Linked DNA regions of Danio rerio. The protein of the gene in region 3 binds, or shares a complex with, the protein of the main gene of each other region. Links are inferred from orthologs where the notes say so. Each region holds a gene or a part of one and is shown on either strand. Other genes may lie near its edges. The genes, in order: ccnt1, eaf1, cdk9 and eaf2.

Evidence for each region.
Region 1: the proteins of cdk9 (region 3) and ccnt1 are in contact, whole or in part, in a crystal structure (PDB 3BLH), measured with the Homo sapiens proteins. The link is inferred for Danio rerio from reciprocal best matches to the Homo sapiens genes CDK9 and CCNT1. Residues at the interface, in NP_001252.1 of Homo sapiens: Val8, Glu9, Cys10, Pro11, Phe12, Cys13, Lys56, Glu57, Gly58, Phe59, Ile61, Leu64, Ile67, Lys68, Gln71, Leu72, Leu81, Ile82, Glu83, Ile84, Arg86, Ile99; in NP_001231.2 of Homo sapiens: Arg5, Lys6, Arg11, Trp12, Arg26, Ile72, Gln73, Phe78, Phe89, Leu90, Lys93, Val94, Pro98, Lys99, Lys100, Leu101, Val134, Glu137, Ile139, Leu141, Gln142, Thr143, Gly145, Phe146, Glu147, Leu148, Thr149.
Region 2: cdk9 (region 3) and eaf1 share a complex: the UniProt entries of both Homo sapiens proteins name them as parts of the super elongation complex. The link is inferred for Danio rerio from reciprocal best matches to the Homo sapiens genes CDK9 and EAF1.
Region 4: cdk9 (region 3) and eaf2 share a complex: the UniProt entries of both Homo sapiens proteins name them as parts of the super elongation complex. The link is inferred for Danio rerio from reciprocal best matches to the Homo sapiens genes CDK9 and EAF2.

The regions. Positions count from the first base shown.
Region 1 is NC_133198.1:38,752,497-38,757,427, reverse strand, and holds the start of ccnt1 (cyclin-T1), read right to left. Parts: upstream 3,176-4,931; 5' UTR 3,147-3,175; coding exon 2,977-3,146; intron 2,217-2,976; coding exon 2,135-2,216; intron 2,044-2,134; coding exon 1,915-2,043; intron 1-1,914. UniProt on the Homo sapiens protein: Regulatory subunit of the cyclin-dependent kinase pair (CDK9/cyclin-T1) complex, also called positive transcription elongation factor B (P-TEFb), which facilitates the transition from abortive to productive elongation by phosphorylating the CTD (C-terminal domain) of the large subunit of RNA polymerase II (RNA Pol II).
Region 2 is NC_133191.1:7,228,002-7,232,652, reverse strand, and holds the start of eaf1 (ELL-associated factor 1), read right to left. Parts: upstream 2,933-4,651; 5' UTR 2,862-2,932; coding exon 2,759-2,861; intron 1-2,758. UniProt on the Homo sapiens protein: Acts as a transcriptional transactivator of ELL and ELL2 elongation activities.
Region 3 is NC_133196.1:7,407,595-7,412,319, forward strand, and holds the end of cdk9 (cyclin-dependent kinase 9), read left to right. Parts: intron 1-611; coding exon 612-783; intron 784-1,165; coding exon 1,166-1,314; intron 1,315-2,789; coding exon 2,790-3,155; 3' UTR 3,156-3,684; downstream 3,685-4,725. UniProt on the Homo sapiens protein: Protein kinase involved in the regulation of transcription.
Region 4 is NC_133184.1:24,619,513-24,624,218, forward strand, and holds the start of eaf2 (ELL-associated factor 2), read left to right. Parts: upstream 1-1,533; 5' UTR 1,534-1,638; coding exon 1,639-1,741; intron 1,742-2,215; coding exon 2,216-2,310; intron 2,311-2,392; coding exon 2,393-2,529; intron 2,530-2,634; coding exon 2,635-2,798; intron 2,799-4,706. UniProt on the Homo sapiens protein: Acts as a transcriptional transactivator of TCEA1 elongation activity. Acts as a transcriptional transactivator of ELL and ELL2 elongation activities. Potent inducer of apoptosis in prostatic and non-prostatic cell lines.

The DNA.
Region 1 (4,931 bases), on a different chromosome or scaffold from region 3:
AATCAGGCAAAAATTAAAAGTAATAAAAGCATTTTTTTGCAGAGCAATAGTAAAATAACACTGTATAGTCTTCATCATAAAAATAATAAAAATCTTTGTTACACCTCAAAATGTCAGAATATCTTGTATCCAACTCATTTTGAGCAAAACAACAACAACTTTGCAGAGACTCTACAATCACATGTGTTCTGTGTCTCCTGGTTAACTATAAATCTGACTCAACATTGCAGATCCGCACATTGTGATATCGATGCTGAAACGATATATTGTGCAGCCCTAGGTGAGTGCACGCAATTGGTCTGGCGCACACAGAGTCATACCCTTCGCTACTGCCAACCCTTAAATGCACCTCTCAAAAAAAACTTAACTACATGTTACGCCAATGCATAGTGCAAGATATGTGACCGCTTGGCTTGATAGCATTGATGATTGTGATCGGGGCCGAGAGTTGCAGGAGAGGAGCGAGCTCCTTGGCGTGAGTGTTTAACAAATATTGAGTCCCTGTGGAGAAGCTCTAGATGAAGATATTTGTTTTGTGTTTATGATTAAAGTTGTTACACGTAGGCATGGGACGATAACCGTTTTCAAGGTTACCGCGGTTTTAAAAGGTCAAGGTTTTAAAACCATCAAAATTTTCCTAAGAGATGTGTACGATTTCTTTTTTTACGTTTTTTTTGTTTGTTTTTTTAGGGCAACAGAATCTCCTGGTGAGAATATTTATCTGAAGACGCCATTTTAAATTGCTAAAAAATCTGTTTTTGAAGCAAATGAAGACAGCTCAAGTGAATAATTAATTTAGCATGACATGTTTACTGCACCAAAATATTTTAAATGTTTCTCAAAATAAAAAATAATGTGTTCAAAAGTTTTTTACCCAGACATTACCCTAAAGAAAGAATAGATTTTAGAGCAGTAGTCACAATACAGTGATATTTTTACCCTAGGTTTTTATACCGTCAGAATCTTAGGTCCATGCTTAGTTCTGCTGGTTCTTAACCTCTGAATGAGTGAGTTTGAGCTACTTGTACAGTGAGTTTGCATTAAAAGTATTTCCAGTAAAAACAAAACACCCGTGAAGAAACTCGGCACAGAAAAATATAGAATCCCCCCTGCCAGCCTGCGTTTCGGTAGTGTTACAGTCAGCGCAACACTAACAGAAACCAGAAATATAAAAGCATGACTAAATGCAAGATATGTGCCATGGGTTATGGCAATCACTAATGCAGAAGTATAATTCAGCCTTAAAGTGTCATACTTGGGGAAAGGTGCTTTATGCAATGGCACAGGTAAACAAGCATCGGAATTGGTACTTGGTATCAGCCGATCATGACATTTTCGGTTGTATTGCCGGAGCAGCTCTTTTTTTTCAACGAAGGAAATAAATCTGAGTTTAGTAGACCATTGTCATGTAAATGTACCTAAAATGGATATTTTGATTAGTCGATAGAAACTTGTCTGATCTGGTATCATGGAGTTATGAACTGTTGGTCAATTAAATAATTTAGATAAAACAACTACAAAATAGTTACATTCAGAAACAAAAATAGGTGAAAAAAACAGCACTCACTCAGGACTCTGAAAAATTAAAGCAAGTTCACTCCAAAGAACATTTTTTATTATCATTTACTTTAGTTTCAGTTTTTTAGTTTAGTATTAAAATTTATAACTGAAACGAATTCAATGCCGTACAAAAAATGCAAAACTACATGCAACTAACCCTAAGCCAAAACTCTATTTCAAACCCTATAGTAAATACACAGTTGTTAACTTCCATCAGTCAATACTTAAATACAACTAAACTCTAACACCTTAAAATGAAGTGTACCCAAAAGATCAAGTAACATTTAAACAAATAACGTAGACAAAACCAATGTTTTTAAGGCCATAATCCATATACAGTACAGTATTACTTACATCACTCCTGGTGTCCGGTGATGGGTCCTGAGGATTGAGACATGCATGGGTCACCTTAATCACATGCTCCAGCTTACGGGGCTGTTCCTCCACCTTCGCTGCTAAAAACAGAGCTGCAGGAGCAATCACCTGAACAACACGGGACATTAAGAGATTATTATCTTGTTCAATGCAGCCAGCATGTTTTATTTGAAACGCGTATATGAAAGAAGACACATACATTCCGGTGGAAGCGAGTGAAGGACTGGACCATGTAAAAGCGATGCATATACACAATGGCAGTGTTAATTGTGAGTTGTGAGCTGAGTGTCCAAAGTTAAGGATTGTAATTCATTAAAATAACAAAAATAAACAGTCTGAAGGCACTTCTGTCCAATATATCATGCAAAATATGACCTTGTCAGTCACAGATTCGTTTTATCTAAGCCTCTGGTATTTTTATTTCAATAAGAGAGATTGCCAGTTCATTTGATACCCTTTAGCACCAGTAAAGTTAAAAGTGAAAGTACTCAGAACGACAAATAAGACGAAAATGGCTGGTTTTCATTAATCTAAAGCACATTAGTAACATAAGATAAAGCAGGACAGCTCATATTTCCTCTATATACTAACTTAAATGTCATGTTACTGTAACAGAGCCACCCTGAAAAGGGAAAATGAAACTATGCTGATTACTATATTTACATATATATTTGAAATGGCATAAATGACATAAACGCCTCATTTTAGAGTATAAACAAATGATGTAATGAAGTAAACAGAGTCAAATTCATATTGGGAATGGCTGTGACACCGGCTACGCTATTGTTCAATGGCAGAGACACCTCCAGTTAGGCCTTGAGGCCTACACCAAACCAAAAAATAAACGCAAAATTGGGACATTAATCCTTTATTCCGTTCGCCTTAATCCACAAGTTTCACAATTGAAAAGGCGTGTATACTGGTAGACCCGTTTCAGGTCATTATAACGCTGAAATTCAACACCACTCGTGCCGCCCAAACCGGCGTCAGCCTCCTCGGAGCAGCTGCCGAGACCGACGCCTGCCTAACTGAAAAAGATACACGTTGAGCCGCTGTCCCATGTCCTGCAGCAGGTTAGCAGCTTGCTGTCGGTACGAGAGCTCTTTGTCGGGATCAAGTCCCGCTCGGCGAGATGGACTGTTTTCGATTTGTTCGCGCGTGAAGTACCATTTATTGTTATTTTGCGAAGGCGAAGGGAACGAAGCCGCCATTACTGAGAAGGACAATGTTTTAAAATCTCACTGCGTCACAGGAAGCGCGTCATCGCTGGCTGGAATGCGACTGCGGCGCTGTTAGACTTAACCCATTCACGTCTGAACAGTACAAACATACATTGATGCAAATTTACTAATCAAAACCCTTATATATATATATATATATATATATATATATATATATATATATATATATATATATATATATATATATATATATATATATATATATATATATATATATATATGAAGTAAAACTGTGTTTGACAGCATTTCTCAGAGCAAGTTTAAGTCAGCTTATCTGCCAACTCATTTACTTCTACTTCTCTACATGAGGATGTATTCATAAATCTTTGTTATGCTTTCAATTTAGCATAAATGTTGTACAAATTTCATACAGAAACTCCTGTCTTAAAGATGATCTCTTTAATTACTGTAAAAATCATATAATGCAGATAATGAGTTGGAATATAGTACTATCTCTCTTCATTGTGTTTGCATCCATTGGGTGGCCAGTCAAATTGACACCATCTCTAAACAGTCTTACTGTATATTTTAAAATGGTGATATATCAAGAGTTTTATTTCTATAAATATAGAATTTTTTTTTGCAATTGTACTCTTCAATACACATTAAAAAACATAATATTTCTATAAAATGGAGGTATCAGTTTTGCAAATAAACTCTTCATAGACATCCTGCTGCTGCTGTGTAATGGGCGTCTGGAGGTTTTTTTGTTTTTGCATTTTTACAGTGCAGTTTTAATCGAGACGTCCGTAATATCAATAAACAGCTGCAATTCCTCCTCTTATGTTGAATACATGGCATATTTTGTTCATATCAACGTCATTTTAGACATGCTTTATTTATTTATTTTTATTTAAAGAACAGCATATAACATTTTAACATTTTAACATAAATGTTAAAATTTATGAATATAATTTTTTTTTAACATCTACATTTTCTTTTCGGTTTAGTCCCTTTATTAATCTGGGGTCGCCACAGCAGAATGAACCGCCAACTTATCCAGCATATGTTTCACGCAGCGGATGCCCTTCAAGCTGCAACCCAGTACTCCCATACACTCCCATTCACACACATACACTACGGCCAGTTTAGCTTACTCAATTCACTTATAGCGCATGTCTTAACTGTGAGGGAAACCGGAGCACCTGCAAGAAACCCACATGAACACAAGGGAGAATATGCAAACTCCACAAAACTCAAATCAGCAATTTTCTTGCTGTGAGGTAACAGCGCTATCCACTGCGCCACCAATAATATAAGTAAATTAGTTAAATAAAAACAATTTCCTCTTTTCAAGGGTCAACAGTAAAGCCAAAAAGTACATTTTCCCACAATAATAAGAGAGGCTTAGAACACTAAAAATTGTTATTAAACATTTTGCACCTCACCCCATCAGTTGATGACAATGCCAAAATAAGTGTAAAGCCGTTTCCTCATATTCATTCATTTTCTTGTCGGCTTAGTCCCTTTATTAATCCGGGGTCGCCACAGTGGAATGAACCGCCAACTTATCCATCAAGTTTCTACGCAGAGGATGCCCTTCCAGCCGCAACCCATCTCTGGGAAATTCCTCATATTCATTACAAAAAAAAAATACAATTTACATCAATCCCACTTTAAAATTTATGAAAATTAGGTTTTGCTGGATAAAATCAGTGAAAAAGTTTGTCGTTCAGCTGTTTATAAAAAATAAAAGTTTGCTGAGAACTTTTAACTTGAAATGCCGCTAATATAATCGCTAAATGTCTTTTCATT
Region 2 (4,651 bases), on a different chromosome or scaffold from region 3:
ACGACAATGAAGCTAGTTTTTCATTCTCTTTTTATTTATTTAATTGAAATAAATGTATCTTTACTAAAATAATAAAATCAATGCATTTCATTACTACAATTTTTTGTGCCTGTTTTCATTCTCACAAACTAAATTCTATAATTATGCCTTGGTTTTAGGTAGGGGGCTTCGATTGGCTGATAATCACATTTAATGACTCGATCGGTACTTGCTGATCAGGGGTGCGTTTCCGAAAATCATTGTTAGCCAACTAAAGTCGTTACAAACATACTTCAATGATTAGCCGTTTCCCAAATCCATCGTTCCAACAAACATTCGCAAACTGCGTTGTAAACTTGTATGCTTGCAACTACACCTCTGGAGCTGTAGTTAGAAACATAGTTCCTGGCTGTGTGCTATTCCCAGCTATCCCCCCTATGCCCATTTCATTTAAAACATTCTAATATTTAAAATTGGAATGACTAAAAAAGCATTAAGCTCATTCCTCTTAGGTATAATTTGCTTTCAAACTATTTTTTCAGTTCAGTATGCTGCGTTCACACCAGATGCGGAACGCGCGGATAAATCGCGCTATTCGCACGTAAATAGCCGCGTGAACATTTGAGTTTACTGGCTTCATTCGAGCGTCAAACCCCACTTCATTCGCACGTCAAATTCACTTCAGAACAGACGCGTATTCGCGTGATAGGCAGGGCTTCTGTCTGCCCGGTGACTGTAGCTTTGTTGCTAAATGGCTAACATGGATTTTATGAAGAAAATAACAGTGTTTATGTGTTTATGAAGGCTGAAAAACAGCCCCGGGACACCTACAACAGGAGATACGTCACAATCACGCCCCCACAAGGCAAGCTCCTGATTGGTTAACGCGGCGCGAATGTTAACATGTTAATCACTCGCGCTTGACGCGCATTCCGCGTCTGGTGTGAACACAGTATTAAAAATTTTCAAATTGACAATTGTGTCCCTCCGCAGTGCACTTTGAAAACATTGATGTCATTTTGAACACAGCCGCGGCTCATGACTAAAGCTATAGGTGACCTATTATTTAAAAGCAGAATTTATGTTACGTCTCCAAAGCTTGTGAAAACAAAAAACACAGCATGCGTTAAAGATTTTAATTTATAGTGGGTAATTTATTAAGTATCTGTACTGTATATGACAAGGGCCTGTTGATTAGCACATTTCTGTTGTGGTTCTCATGTCAAATTGTAAAAGTAGACTTTTCAAAAAATTTTAAATAAATAAGCAAACAATATCCTACTTATTAATAATAATAATAATTGTCATTATCATTAATTTTATTAAAGTGGTATATTTTTTTAATACATAATGAATATAAAATTTCATTTCTCAATAAATAGCCTCATTATTTATTTATTTATTTATTTATTTATTTATTTATTTATTTATTTATATATGATATCAAAATGCATTTTCGCTTTTTTAAGTGGTTTTATGTCTTACAATAGAATATGTAATGTTCTTAATAATATTTGTAAAGGAATCACATGCCCTGTATGTTCAATTTACATATATTTAAGTTACTATGGAAAACAAGTGCATGTTTTTACCTAACCTAATATTGGATTTTTTTTAAATGCGTGTTTGTGTAAAACAAAATAATTTGCACAAAGAAATGATGGGTTTTTCTCTAAAGAAGTAGTTACTCTACGCCATTTACAGCATCATTATGGGCATTTTACGTTATTAATACCATGGTTCAAACGATGGATCTGTGACAGAGAAACTATGGGTTTTGGGAAACACTCGTCACTACATTCAATTGTTCTTTTCCCAAACTATGCATCACATGATGAAGCCGCGAGTTACGTCATTGTTTGGGAAACGCACCCCTGACTGATCTCATGAACCAGTCGCAAGTATTTGTGTTAGTCCAGGGGTGTCAAACTCAATTCCTGGAGGGCCGAAGCCCTGCACAGTTTAGTTCCAACCCTGCTCCAACACTCTTACCTGTAGGTTTCAAACAAGCCTGAAGGACTCAATTAGTTTGATCAGGTGTGTTGAATTAGGGTTGGAACTAAACTGTGCAGAGCTGCGGCCTTTTTGGAACTGAGTTTGACACCTGTGTGTTAGTCAGAGAAGAGCAAAATATTTGAATGACCTTGCATCTATTTAGGCCTTTTTATATATATAAGAACTGAAATAATTTCTCTGTTTTTTACAAAATATTGTGAGTTCACTAAATCCTGGCTGAATAAATTACATTACTAAAACAAAAAATATTTTTTAAGATGAATATTTGATAATATAACTTTTTTTTTAATAAACGTATTGCTATAAAAAGTGGTTTATTGGCCTATTTCCTTTTAGCAAAGAAGTATTAGATTTGAAGGTGTGCGAATGTGGTTAATATTATTATAGAAAATGTTTTCCTATCTTTTAAGACAGGGGTCACCAATCCTGGTCCTGGAGGGCCGGTGTCCCTGCAGGGTTTAGCTCCATCTTGCCTCAACATACCTGCCTGGATGTTTCAAGTATACCTAGTTAGACCTTGATTAGCTTGTTCAGGTGTGTTTGATTAGGGTTGGAGCTAAAATCTGCTGGACACCGGCCCTCCAGAAACAAGTTTGGTGAGCACTGTTTTAAGAGAATGTTCTGGGAACTAAAACAAAACTACCCGCGGAAAACAGTAATGCAACATTGCTTGGTAATATGCTTAGAGCATGTAGAGAACTGAAAATTTCTAGTTGGGATATACTTTGAATAACGCATGTTATGTCTCTCTTGATGGACTCACATCTGATGGTGTGAAAGGATGATTTTGGTCTCTTCTCAAAACTGTCCCCGAGCTTCAACACATGCTCTTCTTTATCCAGCGGCGGGTTCGAGCTGCCGTTCATCACTGCGCGTCACATTGAATTCACCAACTTCACCCAAAATGAAAAAATCCTCGGTTTATCCACATGTAAACAAAGACAAAAGGAGAAGACGCTAAAAGCAAAACAATCCTGACAGATTCAAAACTTCCGGGTCACAGAAACCAAAAATAACGCATTCACCTTAGATGTTTGGTTTATTTTACTTTTAAAAATACAAGTTTTATCACTTAAAAAATAATTTCCTTTATAAACCGCACTTGGGGAATAACAAATAAGAATGAAATACAGAAACAAACGTTTTTGTGGTTTCACTTCCGGGTCAGTGAAAAAAAGTGTTTATAAATACGTAAACAATGTAAGATTATTATTTTATTGAACTTTTTCTGATACTATTTAAATATCTGCATAAATTAAAAACACTCTGGTAACTTATTTACATGAAATGTAAATATATTTAGCACATACCCAGTAAGTTGATGGCGTGACACTCGTCCGATTACCGTAGCTACACAAAAACACCAAACATCCTGTTTCCACACTTCCACATTTCACTTAGATATCCTTTTAGATGACAGAAAAAACATCGCATACGCCAATAAAGTTTTAAAGTAACACAAATAAAGAAAATAGTTAAGCAAACAGAAGAACCAAAGACGCTTATATTATTTTTAGGTTACATTTTTTTGGTAGTTACGGTAAAGCGACATAAAGCGGTTCCTGATTCATATTGAAGGCTGTAGTCCTCGACATGTGTCAGTTGTGTACACGAGTATGAAGTACACATCACATGTAATTACAACCATGGCAACTACACAACCTAGCATCATTCTGTTATTCAGTGGGAAGCGAAAGTCAGGAAAGGACTATGTGACAGATTTAATACAGAAAAGGTAAGTTCTCTAGTTCTCTATAGCCCTGTCGCGTGAACAGATTAAACTCGGTAATAAAGATGCTTTTATTTTATATTTCAGACTGACTGCAGAGATGTGCTGTATTCTCAGACTGTCTGCACCCCTCAAGGAGCAGTACGCAAAGGTAAGTTACACTTCTGCAACCTAACTGAAATAACTCACGTTCGTGGTGCAAAATAAAGTACACTGACTACCTGACAGTCCTGTCGTCGAGCCCAGTTGTAAGAGCAACAAATAATACCTCACTTCTAGTTGATCATTTGGAGAAGTGGCAGAAGGTAGATTATTATTTTATTTTTTTTTAGATGAATCATCTGTTGATCTGCATTTAAATCATCAAAAATGCTGCAGAATATCTATTGCAAACAGCATGGATCAAAGATTGTCAGAGAAATCAGTCAAGTTCGGTGAAGGAAAAATCATGGTTTGGGGTTACATTCAGTATAGGGGCGTGCAAGAGATTTGCAGTGGATGGCAACATCAACAACCTGAGGTATCAAGACATTTGTGCTGTACATTACATTAAAAACCACAGGAGAGGGCAAATTCTTCAGCAGGATAGCGCTTCTTCTCATACTTCAGCCTTCACGTCAAAGTTCCTAAAAGTAAGCAAGGTCAAGGTGCTCCAGGATTGACCAGCCAAGTTACCAGAACTGAACATTATTGAGCATGTCTGGGGATGAAGATGGAGGAAGTCCTGAAGATGAATCCAAAGCAATCATGATGATCTCTGGGAGTCCTGCAAGAACGCGTTCTTTGCCATTCCAGATGACTTTATTAATAGTCCTCCAAGCTCATGATGGAGTCATACACAATATTCATTATTTTCCACTGCAGCATGACTTAATATTCTATACTGGACATTATTTCTGTTAATGACAAGACTTTTGTCTAAGCAAA
Region 3 (4,725 bases):
CTCCGAGCTGGGATTGAATAGGCGACTTTCCGCATGGGAGTCAAGTGCTCTACCGAGAGATTAAAGACCATGACCTCTAGCGTCTGTCGCTAGAGGACCTTTAGAGGTCAGAGGAGTGAGGTTTACCTGCACAGCACTTACTGGCTGGCCTCCGTTACACACAGCTCTAATTTCACTATATTTCCCAAGTATTTGCAAGCTATATGGATTATTAATTAGACATATTTGCACAAGCAAATCCCACCGTGGTGAGTGACTATTACTGTGATTATGGGCGCTGAACGCTGCTTTGTTTACAATTGATGCTCATTCGAAGTTTGGTTTCCCTTTGTGGAAGGAGAAAACAGATACTGCCCCCTGCTGGTGGGGAATGACATGTCCTTGCACAGATGCAGAATGTGGCTCGTTTCTGTCGTCTTTTGTCAGTTTGGTCTGGTCATGCGCAGCTTTTGCTCTAGATGGGATCCAGCACGATAATAATAGGTTTTGTTGGGTGTTGGAGTTTGGCGTCAGCTTGGTGTGTCCCGGTCTTTACATGCTTTTACAAGGCACTTTTATCCAAAGTGACTTCAGTGTTTCCAGACTCAAGTGTATTATGTGTTTTGTTTCAGATCCTCCACAGAGACATGAAAGCAGCCAATGTCCTGATCACCAGAGATGGTGTCCTGAAGCTGGCTGATTTCGGTCTGGCCCGAGCCTTCAGTTTGGCTAAAAACAGTCAGGGGAATCGCTACACAAATCGGGTGGTCACTCTGTGGTATAGACCGCCTGAACTACTGCTGGGTGGGTGAAACCACATCAAACACTTGTTACTTTTCATTTTCGCTTTGTGTTGATATTGTTACGACCGGCTCATTGGAGTCGCAACATGAAAGATCAAGCAACAAAATAGTGCAAATTATTTATTATAATCAAAACTAATACAAAAACAATGATATAAATAATGCAAAACAAACCCAAAATGTTAAGAGTCAACCAGATTCGACTTCTGATTAACCACACAGTGACCTGCCCTAGCTAGCACAACAACTCTTATATACACATTAAAGCAATTATAGATTAGTAATGCAGTCATCCAATCAGGATCTACTACATTCTTTAATGAGGTCTGGGGACTTGGGATCATCACAGTATGGATTTATTTATTTATTCTGTATTTTTGTAGGCGAGAGAGACTACGGGCCTCCCATAGACCTGTGGGGCGCGGGGTGCATCATGGCGGAGATGTGGACCAGAAGCCCCATCATGCAGGGCAACACAGAGCAGCACCAGCTCACACTCATCAGTCAGCTGTGCGGATCCATCACTCCTGAGGTACACACTTTACTCCAGTAATGTTGGAGGATCAGCTCACGCAATTGCCAACCGAAAACATACTTTTCAGATGCTTTGTCAGCTTTTTATTTTCAGGATTTTTGTGTATAATTCACCTAAATTCATTAATTTTCCTTTAGCTTAGTCCCTGATTTATCATGCCAACTACTCTGGCATGTGTTTAATGCAGCGAACGCCCTTCCAGCCGCAACCCAGTACTGGGAAAATTTCACCGAAAATTTCACTCCCTTCAGAATATACTGATTGTACCATTGGGTGCACATAGTCCTCCAGAATGGTTCGGTTGTCCTTGACAGTGACAGATGCGCCAGCGAGACACACACCAATTTGTCCTCTTTTGAACTCTGTCACCCATAATGTTGTGTGCGTTGCAATATTTTTAGAAAAAAATGCTTTTATTCTTTTAATTAAACCTTCACACTCTGCTCCTACTGGTGGAATGTGCAATCACTGGTCAAATTCAGCCATGAAACCTCCAACTTTAAATTGACCAGCGTTTCAGTTTCATTGTCCAACGTCTGTATATTTATTATGCATATGAGATGCACACACATACATAAAGACAATATTTGTTACATAGATATTTTATTCTATTACGCAGTTTAATGAAGTGTATATCTAAATATAAATAAACATTTCTCTAATATATGTATGCATATTTATGTGTTTATATTTACACAAAAAGTATATACAGTACATACATGTTATCTTAAAAGTTTTTTATTTTGGATGCAATTAATCACAATCTTTGCCCAGCACTACAGGGTATCTTAAGTATAAGTCTTAATGTCTTAAATTTTAAAAAACAAATTTAAGCCTTAAAAAGTCCTTAATCCGCTGAAATATTGTGTTGTAGGTCTTAAATTAATTTTAAACTGGTCCGAATTTTCCTCTGTCCATGTAAAGCTTTACCCAATTGGGCCAACATCCATCCATCCAAACACTAACAATATATTTTTCCAATATATTTAATGGTTTTAAGAGACGTTTATTTATTAACTCTATTTACTTATTAATGTGGTTTAATTATTTTTCTTACAATTACCTGTTTTTTTTTTTTTTTTTTTTAATTTCAGGGTTTTCACCTTTTAATTGATAGGACAGTAGAGAGTATAGACAGGAAAGTGTAGGGAGCAGAGAGAGGGGAAAGATCGGCATAGGACCGCGAGGCGGGAATTGAACTCGAGTTGCCAGAACACCAGAGTGCCATGTGTCGATGCACTAACTACTACACTACTAGCACCGACACAATGACCTGTTTGTAATGTTAAGGGTTTTAACTTGGCTATTTGAATAATATTTAGCATTTAGCCTTGTGTTGTCTGAAATTTCATTCATTGTGGTCTTAAAATGGTCTTAAAGTCTTAAATTTGTCTTGGTGAAACCTGTGTAAACCCAGCACTTGTGTTTATTGATCCGCCTGTATTTAACATCTCCATTCTGCACTGTCTCAGGTCTGGCCGGGTGTGGATAAGAAGTATGAACTGTATCAGAAGATGGAGCTTCCTAAAGGGCAGAAGCGTAAGGTGAAGGACCGGCTGAAGGCGTATGTGAAAGACCCTTACGCTCTGGACCTCATAGACAAACTGCTGGTTCTGGATCCGGCGCAGAGAATTGACAGTGATGACGCTCTCAACCACGACTTCTTCTGGTCCGACCCCATGCCCTCTGACCTCAAAAACATGCTCTCCACACACAACACCTCCATGTTTGAGTATCTAGCCCCGCCCCGCAGAAGAGGTCACATGCCTCAGCAGCCGGCCAATCAGAACAGAAACCCAGCCACCACCAGCCAATCAGAGTTCGACAGGGTCTTCTGATTAATCTGTAATTGGTCGAGGAGAAAGAGACTTATTTAAATGACTAAATATACATTTCAGCACATCTTGGCTTGGAAATCCAGGCAGATGCATAGAAATCCTGGAGTTTACCATCTGCACTCACTATTGTAATTACAAAAAATACTGATTGTGGATCAGATGAGTTCTGTTGATGAAACTTTTGATGCTTTATTATGGAGCTTCAACACTTTTGAGAAATGAGTGTATTATTGTGCTGCCCCAGTGCATTGTGGGAGAGAAAAGAAGTGTACTTAGTGTATTGATGCACAGATTGTGTTATTGGATGTGAGTCTCCTGAGAAGATGATTTTGTATTGTAAAGAGCGACACGCTACTTTTGTCTAGGAGACATTTATTTAAACCCTTCACTTCTCTTGACAGATTTTATTGTTAATTTAGCTGCTTATTTTTAAAGATGTTTTTATTTGTAAGATCACGTGTTCAGGGTCATGGTGTTTGTTACTTGTATAAGTATAAATACACCAATAAATCCTCCACATTTCCCATCATTGTTGTTGTTCGTGCTGGAATATTGGGATTTAGCTTGTGGCTAAATGCAATATAATATGAATGCAATATGCTTATATAAAATACAGTATAAATGAATGAATGCCAGAAGATTGTCATATTGACATACTGCACATTATTAAGAAATTAACTGAACATTTAATTATCGCATGCAGTGCTGAGGCTGAGAATTTTTATATTTTATAGATTGTCACAAAACCACAAAGTAAAGTTGTGCTGTAATGCATGCATTTTCTCCATTTGCTGTGTTCTTGTGATGAGGATTCTCCATCCTCTCTGCTGTCAAGCTGATAGCTGCTATTCTACTGTTCTCACATCGAGCCATATCACAATTCCAGTTTTTGTGTCAAAAAAGAGCTCTTCAATTAAAAATAAGATGTGTCACACCATTTAAGGTGTTTTTGAACTTGACTATCTTACACAGTATGTTTATGGAACCCTGGAAAGAAAATCCATAAGAAATTAGATGTCCAGGCTATTTATTTTGTTTTACTGTGTTGCATGATTATGATGCAAAGCAGATGCTATTAGCTGTTGTAGGATAATTAGTACACACTCTCAGAACATTGAACCTCTTTTAGATTTAGAAAACCCTTCAGCCGAAACAAACTTGTAAAAAGAAAAAATACATCTGTCATAAGTGAATATTTTGATTACTTGCATTTTGATTTATAGTATTAAAATGTAGGCATTCATGCTACTGCCTAAAATCCAACGAGATTAACCCTTTAACTACACCACTAAAAAAATGTTTGGATTGCATTTCTTAACTCCTAATGTCGCTGGTTAACACACTCCATGCATTTTTTCCCAACGCATCCCATAATTTATAAAATTTCAGCTTCTATCAAATTTGTCTGTTTATGATAAAAGTATCAGAATTAATACATATACTATGAAAAATAAGAACATATGGTGTAGGGCCAATTTATTTAAAAACAATCAAAATAAAACTTTCTTATATATTAAATCGTTTTTATTGTTTGAAATGTCATAAAATATTTTAGATTCTCATTTAACAT
Region 4 (4,706 bases), on a different chromosome or scaffold from region 3:
ACTTAGATAATGCAGTCGGTGTGGACAGGAGCCCTGAACTCAGCCAATCATTTAATGGAGAACAATAATCATCTGTCCACCACTGCTGACTAAACTAAAGTCTTGTGTGTATCACCAGCCCAGGGACACCGCAAACATACACTTACAGAAGAAACAAAAAAGACCACTGGTAAAAACAAAAAGTCTAATAAAAAACATTTTTTAATTCTTTTCTAATTACTGAACACCTTTCTAATCATTTCCTTTCTTTGCAAATTATGAATTTCACAAGGCTACATCTATGATTTCTGAAGCTGGTAAATAAATATGTAAGAGCTGTAAAATAAATCATAATAAATGTCATGTGTGACCTATAATTTGTGCAGAAATGGAAATGTTTTCATTGATTCTACATCATTACTTGATTCATGGTCACACACTTTTTTCAAATGCAATTATATATAAAGCTACAAGCATTTACAGATGGAATCTAAAACTCAGCATCAGATCAGCATAAAATACAGAATCTCTAATCTAATCTAATGACAAGTAGTGTCAGACTTCATTTTCACCCCATCATATTAGATCTCAAAGGATGTTTTTCTTTGTTTTACAGACAGTCACCCAGCAACCTGCTAATTCCCTACATCACATGCTCCCGCTGAACCAATCTCCATCTCTATTGAGGTTTTCAGAAACAGTGGACTTCATGGAAATAGTTTTACGTTTAAGATGAATGACACTGAAGATAACCTAGTATACGGTATTCCGTGAACATTAAACTGAAAATAACAAATACTTAAGCTGACAGAAAGCTGGTTAACCCTCGCTCAAAATATGAAGTGAACGGGACAATTCATTTATTTAGCCTCCGCTTCGTTAATGAACGTGTCACTTTTACAACCGACTCATTAATATAAAGATACAGGAGAAATGACAGTGTAGTGTATGATCATACTTACATTAGATATTTGTTTTAGTAGAGTTGACATGTCGACGGTCTCTCTCCTCCACACACGCGCTGCTCGTAAATGAATCGGCGACCTCTAGATAGCAGAAGACCCCATATAACGTTACTCTCTCTGCGTCAATGCAAACAAACTGCACGATTTTATTAAAGAAACAAAACATATTTGGGGGAAAAGAGAAAACGATTCCAACACAGCAAGGCATATAATCTATTAATATAATTTAATATTTTATGAGGAATTATGATTTTATTGTCTGTGCTAATGAAATTACCCGTTTGGAACATACCTTAAAATATTTATTTTAGACCCAAACTACGTTTCAACATGTCATTTTTATTTTTTCTTAACTGACAAGACTTTTTTACTTGTCATCGTTAACTGCACAAATACAAATAAGCATTCTTAGGGAACACTAGAGGGCACCAGTGCAGTCGTGTAAACGCGTGTAAGGGAAAAGATGGGCACTTCCGTCAAACGTTACGTCAGCGTCGACTGATTGTCTTCTAAACCAATTACAGACAAGAAGTGAACGAAATGAGGCGTGACCAAGTGCAGTAACACAGCCAATCCCAACGTAGCAAGCGTGAGCAACGGGTCCAGAAGTGAGGCGTCTATTTCTGCCTTAGATGGTATCAAACCAAGCAGAAAGTTGAAAATCGCTAATATATGGTTGAAAATTTGGATTAGAATGAATGGAACAGCATATTCAAACTTTGACAGTCAAGAACACGTCCTCAAACTAGGCGAAACTTTTGAGAAACAACCTAAAAGTGCATTCCACACGGTACGATGTAAGTTGCATCTTTTATATTGCTAGCGGTATTTCAAAATGATCATATAAACACGATAATGTGAGTCATATTTTGAAAAAGAAAACGAGGTGTTTTTTAAGTTAACACCGAAACCATATATTGTTTTCAAAGAAAACGCACAGGCATATCAGGAGGCAGCTATGTGCTTTTCCACCTTGCTGGCTTAAACTCGGCTTTGTATGTTGTTTGGGGATCATTTAAAAAAGCATCCTGTCTTTGTGCTCACAACGAAAACTATTATAAATAAACAGCCTTTTTTGTTAGTCGAAAACTTGTCGTTTTAATGAAATTTTGAGAGCCATTTAATTCATGAAGAATAATGATCTTTCATGGGAAACACGCGCCCTCTGTAGGTTCTGCAATGATACTACGATGTTTGTTTTACTGTGTACTGTACGTGTCAGTAATAATAGCACACCTGAATATCAAGAAATATGTTCTTCCTGGACACAGATGATTTCAAACCAGCCTCCATAGACACTACATGTGAGGGGGAGCTGGAAGTGGGAAAAGGAGAGCAAGTTACAATCACATTACCGAACTTGGAAGTAGGTTTCATAACCTTACATTCTGAAGTGTACGTAAAATGAATGATTCTTGAGTCTTTTTCTCTCCAATCAACCCTTTCAGGGATCCACAGCACCAGTTACTGTATTTAAAGGCTCTAAAAGGCCTTATATGAAGGAGTGTATTCTGATTGTTAACCATGACACAGGAGAGTATCGTCTGGAGAAACTCAGCAACAACATTGCGGTCAAGAAGACCAGGTAAAAACACTTTTGAGTTTCAAGTCATATAAATATGATGCTTCCTTCTAATCCTTTGAATTGTATGTGAAGTAAATAAATTGTCAAATTCTCTTTTCTGTCCAGGGCTGAGGGAAGCAGTAAGATTCAGTCACGGCTGGAGCAACAAACCAGCAGACTCAGCCAGCAGATGAAGACGGGTAGCGGAAGCAAGGCTCCATCCAGCACCAAGAGCTCTCCTCCCAAAGAAAAGATGTCTCCATCATCTCCTATGGATGATATTGAGCGAGGTAACATGTCTGGTCCAAATTAAAAAAAAAAAAAAAAGATTCCTGCAACAAATCATCAGTTTCACATCCATAACTGATCCACATATTATATTGATTCATGGTATCTTCCGTCCATTCCATATCTGTTTTTAAACCGTTTGAAAAAAAGGGAAAACTTTTGGCTCTTTTTTTTTTTTTTTTTTTTTTTTGGGGTTTATTGTAGGAAAATGGATACTACTTTTAAATTCATTATACACATGTAGGCGATGTTGAAACGCCCTTTTTCATCTGACGAATGAAATCTGAGCTCATCACGTTGTCTTCAAAACAATAGTCCTATATATATATATATATATATATATATATATATATATATATATATTTAAAATAAGAGGAAATAAAAATGTAAAAAAAACTAATGGTATCTTTTGTTATAGCCCTAGGGCCCAATGTGTTCTTGTTCTGGTCCTGCTAACAATTATTTAAAAAACTAGACAATAAAAAAACACAAAGTAAACAATAATATTTATTATAAGCCTACTACTATTATTATTATTATTATTATTATTATTATTATTTAGGCCTACAGTAGCTCTGAAACAATAATGCAAACTAGGTTATGCTCAGAAAAGGCTATCTTTACTCGGCATCAGGCGCACAGCAGCAAGACGTTTTGCTACGAACTATTGCCTTCTTTTAATGACATGTGTAACTATACTGCTAATTTATGTTTTTATTTAACTTATGCATACGCAATGAATGTAAGCCTGCTAACTGATTAAATACTAGGATATTTAAACTTAGTTTATATATAAAATAAATAATAATGATAAAAAGCCTGGGTGCAGATCCTCAGAGGACTATTATTTTGAGGGCGACGTCATGAGCTTAGACTTGGTTAGCCAATCAGAGGAAAAAGGGCTTTCAGCACTGCTTACATGTGTTTAATGAATTTTAAAGTCATTGATCCGTTTTCCTCCCCTAAAATAAAAAATGAAAATCCAGCCAAAATGTAGGTTTTTGTGAGCAAAAGAAAAACCAAAAAACATCCGTTTTCCGTTTTTTTTTTTTTTTTTTTTTGGAAACGGATATGGAATGATTGGAAGAAACCCTGATTATACTGCAAGCCTGTGGTCTCAAATGACTGTGATTTAGTTATTCTAAAAGAAATCTAATGCAAATTGTGGAGATATAAACATAATACAATGAAATGACAGTTAAAGTGTTTCCTCATTTAACAATAATTATGATGGTTGTGATCGATTTAGTGTAATAGTCCTGGATTATTAAATCTTTTTCAATTTTGTCCCTCAAAACCATCTGAACCTAGTAAGTACAGTTCTTAATGTTGCTGTAGAGGTATTACAAGGTTATAACACAACTTTATATTTTTTCCTGGTCTTGAAATATTGAAGGAGACAACCATAAAAAAAAAAAATTAATAAATCATAAAAGTGCATTTTTTATACTCATTTTCTCTAAAAAAAAAAAAAAAAAAAAAAAAAAAAGTTTGATGGATGGATGAATAGATAGATGATGAATGGATGGATGGATGGATGGTTGAATAGATAGATGATGAATGGATGTAGATAGATGAATGGATGGATGGATGGATGGATGGATGGATGATTTAAAGTGGGGAAAAGTTTCCAAAAGTGGGGGTCGGACCCCCTGGAGGGTCGCAGGACAATGAAGGGGACGCTTGATGATTTCCAAAAGTCAAATAAATTTAAATAAACTTTTAGAATTACCATATTTTACACGTAAGCCATCAGCCTTTAAATTATTTTTTAATAGGACTGGTGTGTTTATTTTAGATTAACAACATGGCAATAGTGTCAGCTGCAGCAGATGATTTTATAGCACCAGGTTAAACTTTCTGACATCTTTCTGACAATCAAACACATTAAAAATAAATACAGGCCACAA